Linked DNA regions of Macaca fascicularis. The protein of the gene in region 1 interacts with the protein of each later gene in a pairwise test. Links are inferred from orthologs where the notes say so. Each region holds a gene or a part of one and is shown in the gene's direction. Other genes may lie near its edges.

What was found.
Region 2: the proteins of WIPF1 (region 1) and FASTK interact in binary tests that used the Homo sapiens proteins (3 or more experiments, as listed by UniProt). The two-hybrid records come from large-scale screens. The link is inferred for Macaca fascicularis from reciprocal best matches to the Homo sapiens genes WIPF1 and FASTK.

Annotation. Positions count from the first base shown.
Region 1 is NC_088386.1:70,079,777-70,089,862, reverse strand, and holds part of WIPF1 (WAS/WASL-interacting protein family member 1), read left to right. Parts: intron 1-92; coding exon 93-863; intron 864-4,459; coding exon 4,460-4,672; intron 4,673-5,344; coding exon 5,345-5,458; intron 5,459-6,248; exon of another isoform or gene 6,249-6,311; intron 6,312-10,086. UniProt on the Homo sapiens protein: Plays a role in the reorganization of the actin cytoskeleton. Contributes with NCK1 and GRB2 in the recruitment and activation of WASL.
Region 2 is NC_088377.1:192,357,974-192,368,518, reverse strand, and holds the start of FASTK (fas-activated serine/threonine kinase), read left to right. Parts: upstream 1-7,419; 5' UTR 7,420-7,466; coding exon 7,467-7,548; exon of another isoform or gene 7,549-8,020; intron 8,021-8,303; coding exon 8,304-8,726; intron 8,727-9,197; coding exon 9,198-9,377; intron 9,378-9,516; coding exon 9,517-9,656; intron 9,657-10,131; coding exon 10,132-10,345; intron 10,346-10,443; coding exon 10,444-10,545. Other genes in the region: TMUB1 (transmembrane and ubiquitin-like domain-containing protein 1), read left to right, coding at 4,816-4,911, 5,646-6,064, 6,339-6,690. UniProt on the Homo sapiens protein: Phosphorylates the splicing regulator TIA1, thereby promoting the inclusion of FAS exon 6, which leads to an mRNA encoding a pro-apoptotic form of the receptor.

The DNA of each region.
Region 1 (10,086 bases):
GGGACTTCAAGTCACTGGGAACAGACTGTAGCTCTCTGATTTCTTTAGGGTTCCTGATTTCCTAACTGGATGTTTGTTTTCCTGTTTTTCAGATTCTGGAGGAAGCCGACCACCCATGTTGCCACCGGGAGGAAGATCCACATCTGCCAAACCCTTTTCACCCCCAAGTGGCCCAGGGAGGTTTCCTGTGCCTTCTCCAGGCCACAGAAGTGGTCCCCCAGAGCCTCAGAGGAACCGAATGCCGCCCCCAAGGCCCGACCTGGGCTCAAAGCCTGATAGCATTCCCCCTCCAGTACCTAGTACTCCAAGACCCATTCAATCAAGTCTGCACAACCGGGGGTCCCCACCAGTGCCCGGAGGCCCGAGGCAGCCCGGCCCCGGGCCCACTCCTCCCCCTTTCCCTGGAAACCGCGGCGCTGCTTTGGGAGGAGGCTCAATACGTCAGTCTCCCTTGAGCTCCTCCTCGCCCTTCTCCAACCGGCCTCCCCTGCCGCCTACGCCCAGCAGGGCCTTGGATGACAAACCCCCTCCACCACCTCCTCCAGTAGGCAACAGGCCCTCCATCCACAGGGAAGCGGTTCCCCCTCCTCCTCCTCAGAACAACAAGCCTCCAGTGCCTTCCACTCCGCGGCCTTCCTCCTCCTCACAGCCCCCACCTCCGCCGCCACCTCCCAGCAGGCCCGGGCCGCCTCCCCTGCCTCCAAGTTCCAGCGGCAATGACGAAACCCCAAGACTCCCACAGCGGAATCTGTCCCTCACTTCGTCCACGCCCCCCTTACCTTCGCCAGGACGTTCAGGTCCTCTTCCTCCCCCGCCCAGCGAGAGACCCCCACCTCCAGTGAGGGACCCGCCAGGCCGATCAGGTATGACAAGATGTGGGGTGAGTCGCTTCCAAAACCCAGCCTGCCCAAATGTACCAATAATGCTGTCAGTCAAGATAGTCTTAACAAGAACAGGCATAAGTAAACTCTAAGACTGCTTTGTGCTTTTAAGTGGCACGCGACACATGTGATCGTGACCTCGTGTAAATCCCTGAGGAAAGTGGGACCAATATTTCTGTTGGTGTTTTAGCGATGAGGACACTGAGTAGCCAATGAAGTTAAATGGTCACGAGCTAGTTAATAAAGAAGAGGTAAGAACTTTCGTCTTCCATCTGTAAAGTGTACTTGCCAGCCCACTACCCTGCCTCCCTAGAGAGAATTCCAGTGGTCTTACTTGGGAAAATAAGTCCCCACCTCCTGCAGGAGGGCTCCATTACTCCAACAACAGGGGAAGATTTTCAAGAGCTAATGAACTTCTGTACTTCTCTATTCATTAGCCAGGCTTTGAGGCCATTTCCCTGTTCATTAAAGACAAATGTTTAAAAAGTCCATTTTGCTCTTTGTTAACATCTCTGGTACATAAATCCCTTGGAGAATCAAAGGTATAGACTATCTTTACAAAAATACTCAGGCATAAACTCAAAATCTGCATGCTGTCACATGGCTTGAAGAGCCTGCTGAAGCCCATCTGAGACCTTTCCAATGCGGTTGGAAAGGTTGAGAAACCTTGATCTGAGGGACAAACTTTCAGAGTATGAAAGAAAACGCAAGGATTGCCTAGAGTTTGCCCTCTCCGAATTATAATAGGCATTTTTAGTAGAGTACACTCACTTGATGCGTTTTACAGTGGTTATGGATGAACTCGGTAGAACCACCCACTTTTCAAATTTAATCTCATCATACAGACCTTATGTCTGGAAATGGGGCATTTTTTTCCTTTACGCAGAGATAAGAGACCTTTGACCCTGTGACCTCAGGAACCTCATAATCACCATTCTTTAAACTTGCTCACATACTGGAATCATCTACGGAGCTTTAAAAACCACGAATGCCTGGGTCCCTTCCCAGAGTCTCTGGTATAATTGGTCTGGGGTGCAGACTGGGAATCGGGATATTTAAAAGCTCCCTGGTGATTATAGTGTGCAGCAGAATGTGAGAACCACACCTTGAAACCATTGTGCCGTGGCCCTACCAAATGGATGAGTCAGCAGATTAAATCTTCCCCAAAATATGACAAGCATTGACATACAACATTTATTGTTTCTTTTGATTACGTAAGTCATACTTGTTTATTATCGAAATACTGAAAAATATAAAGAAAATTAAAATTATCTGTAATCCTTCTACCACCACCATCCAGAAATAGTCATTGATAACATTTTTTTATTGTGTCCTTTCAGTCTTTTTAAAATGCATATGTTTTTACAAACTTGGTATCACACTACATATATTGTTTGCTAATTTGCTTTTTATTTACTAGTATCTCATTAATGTTTAGTGATACGATTATTCTTCTACAGCCTGACTTTTAACAGCTACCTAATATTAAATCCTACAGATGTACCTTGATTTATTTAACCAATCCCCTCACCTGGTCATATGGGCCATCTCTAGATTTTTCCTGGTGCAGATAATGCAGTGATACATTTTTGTAGCAAAATATGTGTACACATCTCTGTATTTCCTTTGGATGAATTCCTATAAGTGGAATATCTAGGTTAGTGAGTGTGCATAGTAAACTACGGATTTCATAGGTACTGGCAAATTGCCTTCCAGAAATTTCCTACCAATTTACATTCCCACAAGGAGCATATGAGAGTTCATCAAAGGCCCTGTGTATTCTGAGTCATTTGGCTTCAGTGTTACGGGAGTGGGCCTTGGAATCTGACAGATTTGGAGTCAGATCCTGGCTCCTCCACTCAGTCTTCTGATGAGCTTTTTAAGCTTCCAAAACCTCTGAGGCCTTGTCTCCTGTCCCTGTACCTCTCAGAGTTGTAAGAATTAAACGAGACAAGCATGGATAGTGGTTATCTTATTTCCTGGCATGTAGTTATATTCAATAAATGATCATTTCTGTTATTCTGCCAGTGGGAAATAGAAATCTGTTTTCTTTTCTATTGTGCCTGTCAGGATTTGGAGCAGGGAGCCATGAGGTTGGAGAGTTAGGAACATGAACAGGACCATTTACTTTAAAAAGAAAAAGAGATGAAGTTATATAGTACAGGGCCCCATAATATTGAAAGTCGAGTTTGCATGTAGTGACAGTTGTGTGGTGGTATCACCAATGAAGTCAAACCCACAGCAAATGAGACATTTTTCCTCAATAAATCAACTCTTGCTGCCTGGGACTCCAGCAATGACAAGCAGATAGGGTAATAAATAACCACTCCCAGGTGAGGCACTGAAGACTCCTTGAGAGACCAATCAGGGCTGGACAGTGCCTCCCACCGCCATAAAATGTTGGAGCCAAGACTTTCTGTCAGGGATATCTGCAGTGGGCAGGTTGTTCAGGTTAAGGTTCCTAATTGGATTCTGAATCTATAGCTAATAAGATATTTATTTATAGCACCGTCAGATATTGTATTCACATAAAATGTCAGCATCTTACAAGTGGAACCCACTGCTGAAGATCAGGAATAATTACTAAGGCCATTTTGATTTACATTGGAAAATGCTCAAGTTTTTAGTTTTGTTTTTTTAGTTTACTTACTACTCAAATAGCCCCTGCATTTGGAGGATAGGAAAAGCAAGGTTTTCTTTTGTATTATCAAAAATAATTTACTTTGAATTTTTCTTTAGAAACTTAAAAACTTATGGTTATACCATACTGCTACATTTTTTAAAAATGGTTTCAAGTACTTACATAGTATTTTTTATTTGCATTTTCACTAGTTTTTCCTGGCAGCAGTGCTGTGAGACAGGTGACCATGTGGCACTCTTTTACAACTAGGAAACCAAGTTCCATAGGGTACCAGCTTGCTCAAGGTCAAGATTCACATTAGCATTTATAGCCATGGATGTTGATTAGCTGTTTGTCACTCCCTGTGTTCATCTGCCTCCCCAAAGAGGAAGAACCAAGAAGAAACTCCTACTGCTCTCAAGATGACTGGTATTTGGTTTCCTGATGCCACTTCTGCCTGGAAACAGATCATATGCATCACAGAAGCGTGCTTCTGTAATTAACAACAAAACTGCATTTAAAGAACCTCATTCTTCTCAAGACCTAAAATAATTTCATAACTATCTTATTCTTTTTTAAAAAATTATTTCATCATGTCACAGTAATTAGTTCAATAGCTCTTTAAAGGATTGTAAAATTTTTTTTAATTATATGGTTGTCAGTATAAACAGATTTTCACCTGTTTTCAGTTTCACTGTGCCATCTCCAATCTCAGTGCTAATTCAAAGCCAAAACACCCATTTAGCTATCAGTATGCACTTGTTTTGCATATACATGTGTACACATGCATTTTTTGTGTTTCTGTGTTTACTCATTTCTCAGCCAAATACCCTAGAAAATCTCCACCCTAATTAAAGGGCATGTGTCCAGCAGGTCCCCATCAGCTGTACACTAATGGTGACTACGGTGATGGAATATGGATATAAGGTTCTGCACTATGTGTCTTTTTTTGCTCCAGGCCCCCTCCCACCACCTCCTCCAATAAGCAGAAACGGCAGCACGTCTCGGGCCCTGCCTGCCACCCCTCAGTTGCCGTCCAGGAGTGGAGTAGACAGTCCAAGGAGTGGACCCAGGCCTCCCCTTCCTCCTGACAGGCCCAGTGCTGGGGCACCTCCCCCACCTCCACCATCAACATCTATTAGAAATGGCTTCCAAGACTCTCCATGTGAAGGTGAGGTATGGTCCGACTCCCTGGGCTATAGGGCAGCAACTAAATGGTAAATCTGTTTGTATATGTGGTTTGCTTGTTTGCGTTTAATTTCTTGTTCCATCATTATCACACTCCATTGCACTGATCTAACTAACCATTCTAAGGCCCACAGTGATTTCAAATTAAAATTAGTAATCCCCCTTCCCCACTTCCCAAAAAGGCAGATCATTTTTCCCTGATCTGTTCTTTGTTTGGGTCTCATTTTAGTTAACTTTCCAGAGATTCCAGGATTCTGAAAAGAATCTTTTAATAGCTTCTTCTTATGTACATTTCTAAACAGTTCACTGTAGGTAAGAGGCCCGATGGCCTGCACATGTTGAACTGCCTATCTCTGCCATTGTTATCAATGGGGAAAAAGGTGTCCTGTACCTTAGCCGCCAGCTCCTAAGAGGGACTGGCTGGATCCTAATCACTCTCATTAAAACCACTTTGCTTTGATTTGCAGGTCTGTATATACGTCAGTGTACTAATTTGTGACCTTTGCAGCACTTCCAGCTTTTCTGTAAACTTCTAGGCATAAAAACTAGCACTGATGTCTGTGGTTCTCTCTCTGTTTCATTCTGTGCCTTTCGTTACGTAAGTCTTCATAGCAGATTGTCTGTCACTGAAGATACTGCTTGTTTCTCTTCCCAGATGAGTGGGAAAGCAGATTCTACTTCCATCCAATTTCCGATTTGCCACCTCCAGAGCCATATGTACAAACGACCAAAAGTTATCCCAGCAAATTGGCAAGAAACGAAAGCCGGAGTGAGTATTTCTGCCAAGGTTTTTGAAGATTCATGCTTGAATAGCCTGAGTGACACTCGGGCTGTATAGAAAGTCCAGGCCTCTTGCCTGGAGTGGGGTAGAGAACCTTTTGGAGCCATCTACATTCTAGTAAATTCCCCTTCCACAGGCAGTGAGGAAATTGCAGATGCCCAGAATGCATATGAGAAACAGTTATTTTAATGTGTCATTACAAACTCAAAATACCGTGGTTTGCTAGTATTAAATTTTATTATTTTGCTTCTTTGGACGATCGTCCTCCGTTTTCATCTTCCTGAGACAGTACAAGTAGAGCCATCTTCTATTCCTTCTAGTTTGAAATTGGCATAATGTCTGATTAATTATAACAAAAACTCCCTGTAACTGCCTTGATCTTTCAAACATATGATAATCATAGCTTTACAGAGCATTACATGAAAATGTAAATATATCCAAAATCTCTCTACATAATAGATATTTTCATTTTACCAGATTCTCATCCAATTTTTTATCCATATAATTCTGATTTTTTATGTAGTTATAATGACAGTGTATAGTTTTGTGGCGGGGTTTACATAACATTGCTTAGTAAATAGTGCCCATGTTATCACATGGTTTTTATTTCAGCATATAGTAATTTACCATTACCATGGACATTTAAATTATTTCTGTTGTTCTGGTAATGTAGGTCATGCTACCATAAGGAAGTAAATTGCTTTTCCTCCATTGAAAAAGGGTGTCAACAAGAAGGGAAAATAGACAAACTGGAATTTTATAACATTAAATGTATAGGAAGTATTACAGCTCTTTCAGAATTTGTCTAGCAGGCTTTTCAGGGTTTTGCTGGAAAGCCTCTTAAATTTACTTTTAAAAAAACACAATAGCCAGGCACGGTGGCTCACGCTTGTAATACCAGCACTTTGGGAGGCTGAGGCAGGCAGATCATGAGGTCAGGAGTTCGAGACCAGCCTGACCAACATGGCGAAACCCCATCTCTACTAAAAATACAAAAATTAGCCGGGCATGGTGGCGTGCGCCTGTAATCCCAGCTACTCAGTTGCTGAGGCAGGAGAATCGCTTGAACCCGGGAGGTAGAGGTTGCAGTGAGCCGAGATCGCACCATTGCACTCCAGCCTGGGCAACAGAGCAAGACTTCGTCTCAAAAAAAAAACAACAGCAGCAACAATAAATATATACAATGAAGAATGAATTAGCATGAAATATGCGTATGTCACCCATGAGGCTGAGGTTCGTGGCAGCCTTAGCCTCAGAGCCAAATTCTCAAACCAGAAATAGAAAAAATATAACCTAATAAGTCAAATACGTCACAACACCCCTAGCCATGGCCTCACTCCCTAGCAGAGCTTCTTATACCTACTCAGAGCCTACTGATTGTTTTCTAACACCGTTTAAAGTAATTTTTGGTTGGTTGGTTCCAAACCTTATAGGAGATTAGTTAACAGCTAAAGTTAAGACTAGTGAGAAGCAAAATCACTGACATGGGAGAGAAGTGACAGATGGCAGTCCCAGGTCAGAGGAGGAGACAGGAACATGGCTGTGCTGTGTGTTACAGCGCAGGACAACACCAGATGTTTCTGTTGGGTTAAATTTCTATTGGGTTAAATGGGATTAAATTAATTGAGTTAACCTGTGCTTTGTGCCTCTGTAGAAAAATTTAAAGAGTTAGAAAATATAGGAAATTTTCCATGGACAAATGCTAGAAGAAAACAGAATACTACTGCTTAAAAGGAAAACTTTAATTCCTGGAAAAATTTGTTTATGTGGAAGACTGCATTCATAGACAATACCTAATGAAGAGGTATAGCTGTAATAAAATCATTATACAAGAGTTGATGATTGAAATTTTTAGTGAAGACCAGGCACAGTGGCTCACGCCTGTAATCCCAGCACTTTGGGAGGCCAAGATGGGCAGATCACTTGAGGTCCGGAGTTCGAGACCAGCTTGACCAACATGGAGAAAACCTGTATCTACTAAAAATACAAAATTACCTGGGCATAGCGGCACATGCCTGTAATCCTAGCTACTCAGAAGGCTGAGGCAGGAGAATTCCTTGAACCCAGGAGGCGGAGGTTGCAGTGAGCAGAATTCACACCATTGCACTCCAGCCTGGGCAAGAAGAGCGAAACTCCATCTCAAAAAAAAAAAAGAAAAGAAAAGAAAAATGTTTAGTGGAAAGTAAGTTGGCCGGGCACGGTGGCTCACGCCTGTAATCCCAGCACTTTGGAAGGCCGAGGCGGGCGGATCACAAGGTCAGGAGATCGAGACCATGGTGAAACCCCGTCTCTACTAAAAATAGAAAAAAATTAGCCGGGCGCAGTGGCGGGCGCCTGTAGTCCCAGCTACTCGGGAGGCTGAGCCAGGAGAATGGCGGGAACCCAGGAGGTGGAGCTTGCAGTGAGCCGAGATTGCGCCACTGCACTCCAGCCTGGGTGACAGAGCGAGACTCCGTCTCAAAAAAAAAAAAAGTAAGTTTTCACATGGGACAGGTATCTTTGAATGCTCTCTGTGTGTGTGTGTGTGTGTGTGTACGTGTTCACCAGAAGAAGGGCTTCTGTTTGATAAGAGTACAACCCTTCTTCCTTCTTGGGCACCAATAAACGAATTGACTTTAAGGAGTTGTTCATATAGACTCTAAATATTTTTTCTGACTTACTATTTTCCTCTTATTCTAAATATTATTTGTGTTTTTAAATTGGTAACAGACCATCTTCCCTGTACCCTCTAGATTTTTAATGTAATAGCTAAGCCTATTTCTTCTCCCATCCTCCTTTAAGACTCAAGTAGGCAGTGTAAGGACTAGAACTGTGTCCTGCTCACTGTTGCATCTTCCTTGAGGGGCACAGAGCCTGAAACATAAAGGGCATTTTCAAGCATTTCTTTTTAAAAATGTTCTTATAGAGACAGGATATCTCTGTGTCACCCAGGCTGGTCTTGAGCTTCTGGCCTCAAGTAGTCCCCTGCCTTAACCTCCCAAAGCACTGGATTATAGGCATGAGCTACCACACCTAGCCTAAAAGTAGTTTTTAAATTGGTGAATTAATTTCCGCCGTCTACCAAAATTTTTTTGTACATTTGCCTTAAATATTTCCAGCATTAGGCATGTTTAATATTTTATAATGATAATGTATCATCTAACAAAAATAAATAAGGCACTGTCGAGTACCAAGTTTTCCTCTGCTCTGCAGCAACCTCAGCCTCCCAGCCCACAGCCTGAGAGCACACCCAGACAGCCCTGAGCAGTACCGAATGCACTTGGAGTGTATTCTAATTACAGCTTTGGACTAGGCCAGCCCTCATTCTACTAACCACTTGTGGCGGGTCAGTTGATGGTCAGGGCTCCATGATAGGTGTCTGGTTTACATCCAGATGAGTCTTTTCTCAGATGCCTGCCCAAGAAAATATTTGGTTGGGATGGTAAGAGGAAGAGGCGCCTCTTTCAGTGTTTTCTCCTAACTCCTTTCCTTGCTCAGAAATTTGGTTCTTTCTCAGAAATCCCTAAGTGGACTAGTAGGGTCCCTATCAAGATCCCTACTGAGGAATCTGCCAGTTCCAGCCCACTGAGTCTCAAGAGTAGTGGTTAGAGCAGACCTACCTGATTGACACGTGCACCGGGTGGACCTGTTCACAGCATCTGAGCACCTGACCTCATGCCGAACACCTGTTAAATTCTCAACAAGGCTGGGTGCGGTGGCTCAAGCCTGTAATCCCAGCACTTTGGGAGGCCGAGACGGGTGGATAACGAGGTCAGGAGATCGAGACCATCCTGGCTAACACAATGAAACCCCCGACTCTACTAAAAAATACAAAAAAAAAACTAGCCGGGCGAGGTGGCGGGCACCTGTAGTCCCAGCTACTTGGGAGGCTGAGGCAGGAGAATGGCATGAATCCGGGAGGCGAAGCTTGCAGTGAACTGAGATCCGGCCACTGCACTCCAGCCTGGGTGACAGAGCAAGACTCCGTCTCAAAAAAAAAAAAAAAAAAAAAATTTCTCAACAAATGTTTGTGTAGTAAATGAATTTTTTTTATGTGAATGGGTTTTAAGCCTAGTTACAGTGGACTGATAGCCCATGAATAGCTTGGTTTTTGGTTTTGTTTTGTTTTTGAGACAGGGTCTCACTCTGTCACCCAGGCTGGAGTACAGCGGCACAATCTTGGCTCATTGCAGCCTTGACCTCCCAGGTTCAAGTGATCCTCCCACCACAGCCTCCTGGGTAGCTGGGACTATGGGAGAGGCACGCACCAACCTGCCTGGCTAATTTTTTGGAGACGGGGTTTTGCTATGTTGCCCAGGCTGGTCTCGAACTCCTGAGCTCAAACCATTCTCCCTCCTCAGCCTCCCAAAGTGCTGGGGATACAGGTGTGAGCCACCGCAACAGGGCCATAAATAACTTTTAAAAGAACACATTGATAGAGCACTTGAAAAGATGCTCAACATCACTGATTTTTAGGGAACTGCAAATAAAACTATAGTGAGATACAACTTTACACCCATTAGGATGGCTACTGTCAGAAAAGCTTTCTCTTTTTTTTTTTTTTTTTTTTTTTTTTGAGACAGAGTCTCGCTCTGTAGCCCGGGCTGGAGTGCAGTGGCCGGATCTCAGCTCACTGC
Region 2 (10,545 bases), on another chromosome or scaffold:
CCACAACTCCATGTTATGGCAAAAGGCCTTGGCTCTCGCTGCATTTCCACGGAGGCCAAACCCACCACCTGCCGGTGGGCGTCCCCTTTCAAACAGAGCTGGGGGAGGAAGCAGATGGCCCAGGGCGAGGCCCATCTGTCCGTGCCCGCTCGAAGGTCACCATGCCACTGGCCTGATTGCGGGTGCCGCCAGCACCCACCACACCAGGGCTTGCGAGCCATCTACCAGCAGCGTGCCCCTACTTCCTGTGCCCTCAATGGTCGAAAGTCCAGGGCCTAAGGGCCCAGAGAAAAAAGCGCTAGGCAGCGCAGTGGCCGGGGATTTCCAGTCCCCGACTCCGGGTGCGGTGTCCCTGGAGGTCAGTCAGCGCCCGGCTGCCCCGCGGCTGCCTCCAGACCGAGGAGCCGCGGGTCCCTGGCGCGCTCACGACCCGGCCAAGGCGCGGATGGACCTGCCGGCGCCTCCCACGCGGTCGCGGCGCCGCAGCCCAGCGCCAGGCCCGGCCCGCGCCCGCTTGGCCGCCGCGGCGTAGGGGGTGTGCGTCGGGAGAGGGCGCCGCGGCGAGCGCCACCCTCCGGGCCTGCGGGCGCTGGGCCAGGGAAGGCTGCCATCCACTAACGCGAGGCTCCGATCCCCCGCCCCACTGCGGAGCAGGGCCCGGGCAGCGGCTAAGATGCCTCCCCGGTCACGGCCCCACCTCCCGGCAGCTGAAGCCCTCTGCCGCGCCCACCTTCCCCGGCCAGGCCTGGATAGATCTGGTCCTGGCCCCCCGAAGCGACACCACCTTCGCGCCCTGGAGCACAGTGAGCAGAAAACCCCCAACCCCAAAGTGTCCCCGAACGAGATATGGCGAAGCTGCCCGCCGGTTCTGCAGCACAGATCGGCAAACCTCGTGGCCTGGACCTCAAGCGCGCAAGGACCCCCGACAGGGAGAGCATGGCCAGGACCGGCCCGTGGAGCCCTCGACCGGAGCCGGAGAGGCCACCGCGCCCCTGCTCCCGCAGCCCCCGGCTTCGCTCACCCTCGATGGAGATGACGTGCTCGCGGATCTGGTTCTGCAGCGCCAAATCCTCGATGCGCTCGATCAGGTCGTAGATGGCGTAGATATTGGGATGCACGGACTCGAAGCGCTGGATCTCGGCCCGGATGGCCGCGGAGTTGGAGAGCGCGAACTGCTGGGGGGGCCCGCCGGCCAGCTGCTGCGAGGGGACGCCGCCGCCCCCGGCCCCGGGCCCCGCGCCGCCGAACTGCCCGCCGCCCCCCGCGCTGCCGCCGCCGCCGCCGCCGCCGCCCCCCGGAGCCGCCAGGCTCTGCTGCTGCTGCGGGCTCTGCCCCCCGCCCGCCTGGAAGTTCATGGCTTCGGAGCCGTGGGGCCTGAGGCGGGCCCGGGGCGGCGCGGCGGAGGCGGCGGCGGCGAGCGGGCGCGCGGGGCTGGCGGGGCCGGGATTACTGGGCTGGTGGCGCGGGGCTAGCGCATGGAGCCGGGGGCCGGGGGCCGGAGGCCGAGGCCAGGAGGCGCCGCCGCGCACGCTGTGGCCGCCGCTGCCGAGCGCTTCCCGGCGCCGTGATCCCGCTGCCTCGGAGCAGCCTCCAGCGGCAACAACAACGGGACCGGGAGCGCGCGGCCCGGGCCCTCCCCCCGCGTCATGCGCACGCACCGCCGCCCCCGCCGGCTCCGGCACACGCAGCCCGAGCCCCCCTCCCCGCCGCCCCCGCCCCTCCTGCGCGCCGGCCCGGGCGCCCCCGCCCCTCGCTCGCTAGCTGACTCTTCAGCCTCCACCCCCGAGCCGCGCGCTCCAGCCCAGGCGCCCGGGCCCCTCCCACTCAGCTTCGGCCCTTCCGCCTCCTCACCAGCCCCCACCCGCATTGCCTCGAGGGCCACCCTCTCCGAGGGGACAGCTGCCCTGGTCTCCTCCCGCGCCCGGCTGTCGCTTTCGCCTCCCTGCGCTGATCTGGGCCGGGTGTCCGATCTCTAGGCAATGCCCAAACAGTGCCCTGCGCCTGAGGGTGCTGCTGACCGAGGCTGATTGGTCGAGGAGCCCGCCCAGGCCCAGCCGCTCCTCGCTTACAGCGTCCCGCCTTCAGTGCGGCATAGGCTCCCCTGTCCCCAGGCTCCGAGGTCAGCCCTAGAGACCACCCGGCTGCCAGAGTTTTCTCCCTGGCTCCCTGCCCAGTCTCTCCACTGCCGGCTGCAGCTCAAGAGGCTGGGATGGGTTCTGGGCTGCTATTTCCAGTTCTCCCTGAGCGCTTCATCATCGGCACGCCCCTGGAAATGACACTTTGAACAAACTCGTCTCTACTCTTACCTTCTCGTGATCGGCCTCTCCTAAAAGACCGTCCCCCTGCTGGACTTGGGAGATTAGCTAAATGCTACCCGACCCCATTGGTACACAGAGGAAGAAGAGGGAGGGATGAAATATATGCCTTTCTCCCCTACTCATCCCATTGGAGAGACCAACCAAAGCCCACGTGGCTCTCAATTTTTCTTGTCCTCACCCCTTGTCCATCCTGTCCTTTCACTCCCTCTAGGGTCAGGTAGCTCCCTGCAATGTCCTCTGCAGTGCCATTGCCAAAGTGGGCTGCAGTTGTTAGCCGCCCCCCCCCCACCCACCCCAAGACACACACACTCACACACACACACACACACAGGTTTCCTAAAACCTACAAGAGGTGACATTTGCAGAGCAGTGGCCCCAGCCAATAAATCTCCCAGAGATGTTGCAGGGTATCTGCTACCCCCAGATATCCTCGGGCATCACTGACACACATCGTCCTTTTTACACACACTTCCACTTCCCCGGCCAAGCTGGATCTTTTCCCAGCATGAAGCTGTCCACCATTTGATTACCCACACAACTCAGCCCCAGTACCAACCCAGTCACTATTCCTGAGTTCCTTGTACCTTCCAAAGCACCTGGTGCAAGCTAATCAACACATAGGGTCTCCTAAGCTCCTGAGGAATCTGTGTCTGTGTTTCTATCTCCCTGCATAACCTTAAGGATATCTTGTGCCCTCTCTGGGTTTCATCTGCAAAATATAGTGGTTGAACAGAAAACCTAGTTCTGATGTATAATTCTAAAAGTAACATCCAACATCTCTTTTAGATGCTTAATTAGAATTGACAGCAGGAAGTAGCACCAGGTATACCTCCCAAAAGAGATACTAAGAGCAAAGAGCTCCTCAAATGTGTTGCCCCAGCAACTAGCACACACCTGTTATAGCTCTGATGGGCTGTTCACACGACTAGCTCCTCTACTAGTATATGGAGCCACATGAGGGCAGGAAGATGGTCTGATTCACCATTTTATTCCCAGTATCTTGCACAATGCCTGGCAAATAGTGTGTGTGCATATATATATATATATATATATATATATATATATATGCATATATATATTTCAAGACAGAGTCTCACTCTGTTGCCCAGGTTGGAGTGCAGTGGCTCGATCTCAGCTCACTGCAACCTCCACCTCCCACGTTCAAGTGATTCTCCTGCCTCAGCCTCCTGAGTAGCTGGAATTACAGGCACCCTCCACCACATCCAACTAATTTTTGTATTTTTTTTTTTTTAGTAGAGATGGGCTTTTACCATGTTGGCCAGGCTGGTCTCGAACTCCTGACCTCAGTGATCCACCTACCTCGGTCTCCCAAAGTGCCAGGATTACAGACATAAGCCACCGCGCCTGGCCATAGTATATCTTTTAAAAATATGTTAGTAGAATAAATGAATGAACAGGAGGGATGGAACTAGATAGGTTAGTTCTGTATGGTATCAATCTAGACTGACATTCCTAAGGCAATATTTGGGCCACTTGCTCCCACAGTAGGCAAGAACTATGGGAAAACTAGGATAGATTATTTTAAATCAAGACTGGCCTGTAAAAACCAGGATGTGAGATCTCTGTGGCTACAGGAGCCCAGAGGGAAAAATCCACAGATATCCACAGGCCTGGGATTCAATGTCATCCACACAGTAACACACCAGGATCCGATTCCAGAGACCAGCTTTGAGCGGAGGTGAGCAAATAGCTACTGTGTGACATGTACCTTAGTTTTCACACTTTTAAATAAAACATCTAATTTCTTCCTTATGATTGACTTACGACGTATGTTTCAGAAAGGAAGAAATTAATCTTTAGAGAGATTCAATAACCCACCCAAGGTCATATAGCTGAGAAGCACAGGATAAGGGATCAGGATTTGTGCCAGGTTCCAAGGTCTATGCTTCTTCCACAGTCCTGAAAGAGCAAGGTGGAGGAGGGGACCAAGGAAAGGGGCAGCCCTGAGGATGGGTATCCCTGGCCAGCCTAGTGGGACAGCCCATGGATATTGGGCTCTGGGCTGAAGAATTAATTTTGGTGGCCAAAGTGCCTTCTGGCGTCCACTCTGACATAAGGGTAGGGGCCACCTGAGTTCCTCAGAGCCTTCCTCACTGCATCACGAACACGGGTGTTCTGACGTGCTTCAGCTGACGTCGGTGTCTGGTGTGACAGATGCTCTGGCTGTTGGCGGGGGAGGGGGCGGACCCTGCTGCCGCCCAAACCTCTAGCCGGTAGCGCAACCCCCCAAAGCCGTCCCCACCGACCCCTCCGCGATCTGCTGGAGCAGAGAACCGCGGGTGGAGCCCAGCACGTGGGTCCGCAGGGCGGAGGGCGGAGACAGAGCGGCGCCGGACTACAAGTCCCACAATGCCCCGGGCCGCGGCGGCGAGGAAGGAGGGGTGCTTCAGGTGCCTGCGACCTCCGCGCCTCCCGCCCGGAAGTGTCCGAGGGGCCGCGATGGAGCTGGGGCAGCCGGGCGGTGAGTCCCCGCGCCATGACCGCGCCCACCCCGCCGCCCAGGGCCCCGGCCGGGCCCCGCCCGCCCTGCCCTGGATCGCCGTGCCCTCCTGCGGCTCCGGGGGGCGGGAAGGTGGGAGGGGTGATGAGGGGTGGGGGTAGGGAACGTGAAGTCTCGGATTCCGGGCGGGATCTGGGGTCTGGCAGCCCGCGGGGCTTGGAGACACTTCCAGAGAAGGCGTGGAGTTGGGCCTCCGCGGAGTGGGGTTGAGGGGACCGAGCTGGGTGGGTGGTGACGCTCGGAGGCTCCAGATTGCCCAGGGGCGGAGTTTGACGTTTGCTGTGGGGGAAGCCTGGGAAGCAGTCCTGTGCCGCGGGTGGGGTTTAGGTGAACCGTAATGCGGGGGGCGGGGGGTGGGGGCACAGAGGCTCTACCCCCACCTCGGAGAAACTTTAGCAACGGAGTAGATGAGCATGGGGTGAAGTCGGTGAAGGAGTAGACACACTGGGGTGAAGTGGGCAGGAGAATAGATACGCATGGGCGTGAAGTTTGGCTGGGGTGAAGTTTAGGGGAGGCGTTGCTTAGGCCCTTACCTTGGGATAGGGTTTGGGTGAGTTGGGAGCTGGTTGAAGACCTCGAGCTCAGATGACAGAAAGTTAGGACTTGGGATTCGGCGATGGGAAGGGGCACCCGGAGGCAAGTTTGGGGCGACTGGGAGGCAAAGCAGCCCGTACCCTGGGGTGGGTGAGGGAACCCAGGCTGAGGACGGTGGGAGCGTCGCGGTGGGGTGGGGGCAGGACCCTGTGGAGGTTCCAGGGCTCCTGGTCAGAGGGCCCGCGCCTCACGGGCTCTTTGTGCCTCTCCAGCTCGGTAGCGCGGCGGGCAAGGCAGGCGCCATGACCCTGATTGAAGGGGTGGGTGATGAGGTGACCGTCCTTTTCTCGGTGCTTGCCTGCCTTCTGGTGCTGGCCCTCGCCTGGGTCTCAACGCACACCGCTGAGGGCGGGGACCCACTGCCCCAGCCGTCAGGGACCCCAACGCCATCCCAGCCCAGCGCAGCCATGGCAGCTACCGACACCATGAGAGCGGAGGTCCCAGGGGCAGAGACCCCCAGCCTGAGACACAGAGGTCAAGCTGCACAGCCAGAGCCCAGCACGGGGGTCACAGCAACACCACCAGCCCCGGACTCCCCGCAGGAGCCCCTCGTGCTACGGCTGAAATTCCTCAATGATTCAGAGCAGGTGGCCAGGGCCTGGCCCCACGACACCATTGGCTCCTTGAAAAGGTACGTAGGTCAAGAGGCAGGAGCAATGCTGAAGACAGGGGTGGGGGGAGTGGTCACAGAAGGCCCCAGGAGAGACCTAAGACCCAGCCCTCCTTTATACTGGAGGCGCTGAGCGCCCCAGATCACAACTGCACTTGTTCCCTTGGCAGTCTGCCCCTCCCAGGCCAGGGCCGGTGTGTTGTGGAGGGCAGGGGAAGGGTGGGAGTGTTGTTCCGGGGCCAGGGACTAGGATTGCCTGAGGCCTGCTCTCTTACCCAGGTCCCTCTCTCCTCAGGACCCAGTTTCCTGGCCGGGAACAGCAGGTGCGACTCATCTACCAAGGGCAGCTGCTAGGCGACGACACCCAGACCCTGGGCAGCCTTCACCTCCCTCCCAACTGCGTTCTCCACTGCCACGTGTCCACGAGGGTCGGCCCCCCAAATCCCCCCTGCCCGCCGGGGTCCGAGCCCGGCCCCTCCGGGCTGGAAATCGGCAGCCTGCTGCTGCCCCTGCTGCTCCTGCTGCTGCTGCTGCTCTGGTACTGCCAGATCCAGTACCGGCCCTTCTTTCCCCTGACCGCCACTCTGGGCCTGGCCGGCTTCACCCTGCTCCTCAGTCTCCTGGCCTTCGCCATGTACCGCCCGTAGTGCCTCCGCGGGCGTTTGGCAGCGTCGCCGGCCCCTCTGGACCTTGCTCCCCGCGCCGCAGCGGGAGCTGCTGCCTGCCCAGGCCCGTCTCTCCGGCCTGCCTCTTCCCGCTGCCCTGGAGCCCAGCCCTGCGCCGCAGAAGACTCCAGGGGCTGGCAGAGGCCCCGCCCTGCGACCACCGGGGCTCGGGGCCACCTCCCGGGGCTGCTGGCCCTCAGTCCGCACTGGGAGTGGGCTCCTCGGGGTCGGGCATCTGCTGTCGCTGCCTCGGCCCCGGGCAGAGCCCGGCCGCCCCCGGGGCCCGTCTTAGCGTTCTGCCGGAGGACCCAGCCGCCTCCAATCCCTGACAGCTCCTTGGCCTGAGTTGGGGACGCCAGGACGGTGGGAGGCAGGTGAAGGGGAGGGGCATAGGAGTTCCCCGGAACTTGTGCAGATTAAAGTAACTGTGAAGTTTTCACTCTTGCAGTGTGTCTGAGTGTGTGCGGGATGGCGGGCGGGGACTCCTCGCCCCTTGGGAGAGAAGGGCACGGACGGCGCCCTCGGCTCTGGCCCACCGCTTTCCCTTCTCCCCTGCCTTCTGCTCTGGCTTTGGCGCCGGCCTCCGTGGCCCCGCCCCCGGTGCCGCGCGCGCACTTCCCGCGGGCGGAGCTCACGGCTCCCTGGCTCGCAGTGCCTGCCGGGAGCCACGTCTCCGCTGGTCGATAGCTGTTTCGGGATTGGTGTCCGGGCGGCTATCTGGGGGCTGCTGGGAAGATGGCGGACTCGGTGGCCAGCCGATGAGGAGGCCGCGGGGGGAACCCGGCCCCCGGGCCCCGAGACCGACTGAGGGAGCGACCTGCGCAGGGCCCGGGGAGTCATGTAGGGGTGGCGCCTGCGGGGAGGGCTGTGGGAGGGCAGCGGGAGCTGGTGTTAGCGGCAGCGGCCACGGTCTCCTGGCGTCCCTGGGTCGGGGTGGGTGTGGGGGCCCCCGACTTCGCCGACCCCACGCCATCGCAAAGCGGTGCACTCGGGCTCCACGCGCGCCCTGCGAGGTGGGCGTTGCGATTTCATTTCACGGGTGAGGAGACTTAGACGAAGCCACTTGTCCAAGGTCACGCCGCTGGTGAGTGGGAGCGCCCAGCATGGAACCCAGCGCCGTCCAGCCGCGGAGCCCGCGTTCCACCCTCTGTGCCGCCGCCGCCTCCTGCGGGAGAGGGAGGTGGTCGGGAGAGTGCACGCCGGTGCCGCCTGGGCTCCAGACTGGGCGCGACCACTAACCCGGTTAATGACCTCAGGCTTAACTTAACCCCTTAGCTGCTCTGGGCCTGCGTTTCTCCACCGGTGAAATGAGGTAATGCCAGCCCTGCCTACTCTTCACGGGCGTGTAAGGAGCATCAGAGATGGTGCATGTGGAATTGCTTTGCAAGTAGTGCCCTGAGCGCACTGAGGATTATGATTGCTGTTTCAAAGGCGTGGAAGGAGGCAGAGGGGCGGGGTGGGGAAGAGGCCCAGAGCAGTCACAAAGGGTTGCTCTGACCACAGGCCCCCTAAATGAGGAGTGAGGTAAGGAGTAGGTAGCAGGTCTTTCTCCCCTTTGGAGAAAACCTCACCCCCTTTTTTGGGCTGCCCCTCAGGGTCTCCATCACCCAACTCCATGCTTCGAATCCTGCTCTCTGCTCAGACCTCCCCTGCTCGGCTGTCTGGCCTGCTGCTGATCCCTCCAGTACAGCCCTGCTGTTTGGGGCTCAGCAAATGGGCGGACCGGCCTCTTGGAGGAGGCCCCAGTGCGGGTCCTGTGCAAGGACTGCAGCGGCTTCTGGAACAGGCAAAGAGCCCTGGGGAGCTGCTGCGCTGGCTGGGCCAGAACCCCACCAAAGTGCGCGTCCACCACTACTCGGTGGCGCTTCGTCGTCTGGGCCAGCTCTTGGGGTCTCGGCCACGGCCCCCTCCTGTGGAGCAGGCCACACTGCAGGACTTGAGTCAGCTCATCATCCGAAACTGCCCCTCCTTTGACATTCACACCATCCACGTGTGTCTGCACCTTGCAGTCTTACTTGGTGAGGAGGGGCTTGAGGTGGGCGCCTGGGGGGCTGGGTGTTAATGAAGAATAGGGAGAACAGTAGAGGACAACGGACGGAGACCCAGCCTCTCAGGTGTTTGCCCAGGAATGGTTGCTCCTGCTCCCGTCCTATGTCTGCAGCAGACATCATGAGAAAAACGCACTCCTTCCAGCCTCGCTAGGGTGCCACCTCAGATTCCTGCTAATAGAGTGCCCTAGGAAGCCACCATAATTTGTCACAATTGGTACAAGATGAAAGCCTATTTGCCATCTTTGTATGTACTCCCCACAGACCATTTTGATACCTCATAGCCACGTGATACTTTACATTTCTTTAGTGTTTGCACTTAAACTCTAGCACACCTTGCTCAGGAAACAGAGAGGTGAAAGGTGGGGAATTCAAGTAACCCCATGATTGGAGCAGCAGCACAGCTCTGTTACCAGGCTGCCTTTTACCTCTCCCCCTCAGGCTTTCCGTCTGATGGTCCCCTGGTGTGTGCCCTGGAACAGGAGCGAAGGCTCCGCCTCCCTCCGAAGCCACCTCCCCCTTTGCAGCCCCTTCTCCGAGGTGGGCAAGGGTTGGAAGCTGCTCTAAGCTGTCCCCGTTTTCTGCGGTATCCACGGCAGCATCTGATCAGCAGCCTGGCAGGTGCTGGAGGGGGTTAAAGTCAGACGGGGTTGGGAGGGTTGACAGGAGGAGGAAGGTGGTCTCAGTTGGCTGGGCTGAGGTGGAATTGAGCCAGCTGGAGGTCCAGCCGAGGCCCAGCATGACAGGCTGTTCTTCACAGAGGCAAGGCCAGAGGAACTGACTCCCCATGTGATGGTGCTCCTGGCCCAGCACCTGGCCCGGCACCGGTTACGGGAGCCCCAGCTTCTGGAAGCCATTGCCCACTTCCTGGTGGTTCAGGAAACCCAGCTCAGCAGCAAGGTGGGCTTACCACCTACCCTCCAGTGCATCTCTCAGTCATTCTCAGGGACCTCGTCAGGCCCAGCACCCTGTGCAGCTCAGCTATCCTTTTCCTGAAGCAGACACACCCTCTCTGTCCCCTGGGACCTGCATCTTTTCCTACACCCTCTCTGTGACTTGCCCACCTCCTGTCACCAGCATGCATTCCTGGAACTCTGCAGTTTCCCAAAGCACTCTTAGCACCATCCTAGCTCCACCCATCCCTCTCCTTGAAGTCTTCAGGGCCAAACCCCACAGTGATGTCCCCTCTGCCTGTCTGGTGATTAGTCACGTGCAGCTTGTGACTGCTTTGCTGTTGAACTGTGAGGCTGTAGGGACTGTCCTGTCTTTACAGCAGTGTTACAAACTTGAGGGCTAAGCCTCTCTAAGGCTTAGCTTGTAAAAAATGACTGCAGCAATACTTCACACTGGGTAATGAACTGCTCTTCCTTCACAGGTGGTACAGAAGTTGGTTCTGCCCTTTGGGCGGCTGAACTACCTGCCCCTGGAACAGCAGTTTATGCCCTGCCTTGAGAGGATCCTGGCTCGGGAAGCAGGGGTGGCACCCCTGGCTACAGTCAACATCTTGATGTCACTGTGCCAACTGCGGTGCCTGCCCTTCAGAGCCCTGCACTTTGTTTTTTCCCCTGGCTTCATCAACTACATCAGTGGTACGCAGCCAGGATGGCCGGCTGGGCCCCTGAGGGCTGGAGAGGCAGGGGAACAGGGTGGCCTGCAGCCCGGAGCCCCAGTCCCCGCCTCCCCACAGGCACCCCTCATGCTCTGATTGTGCGTCGCTACCTCTCCCTGCTGGACACAGCCGTGGAGCTGGAGCTCCCAGGATACCGGGGTCCCCGCCTTCCCCGAAGGC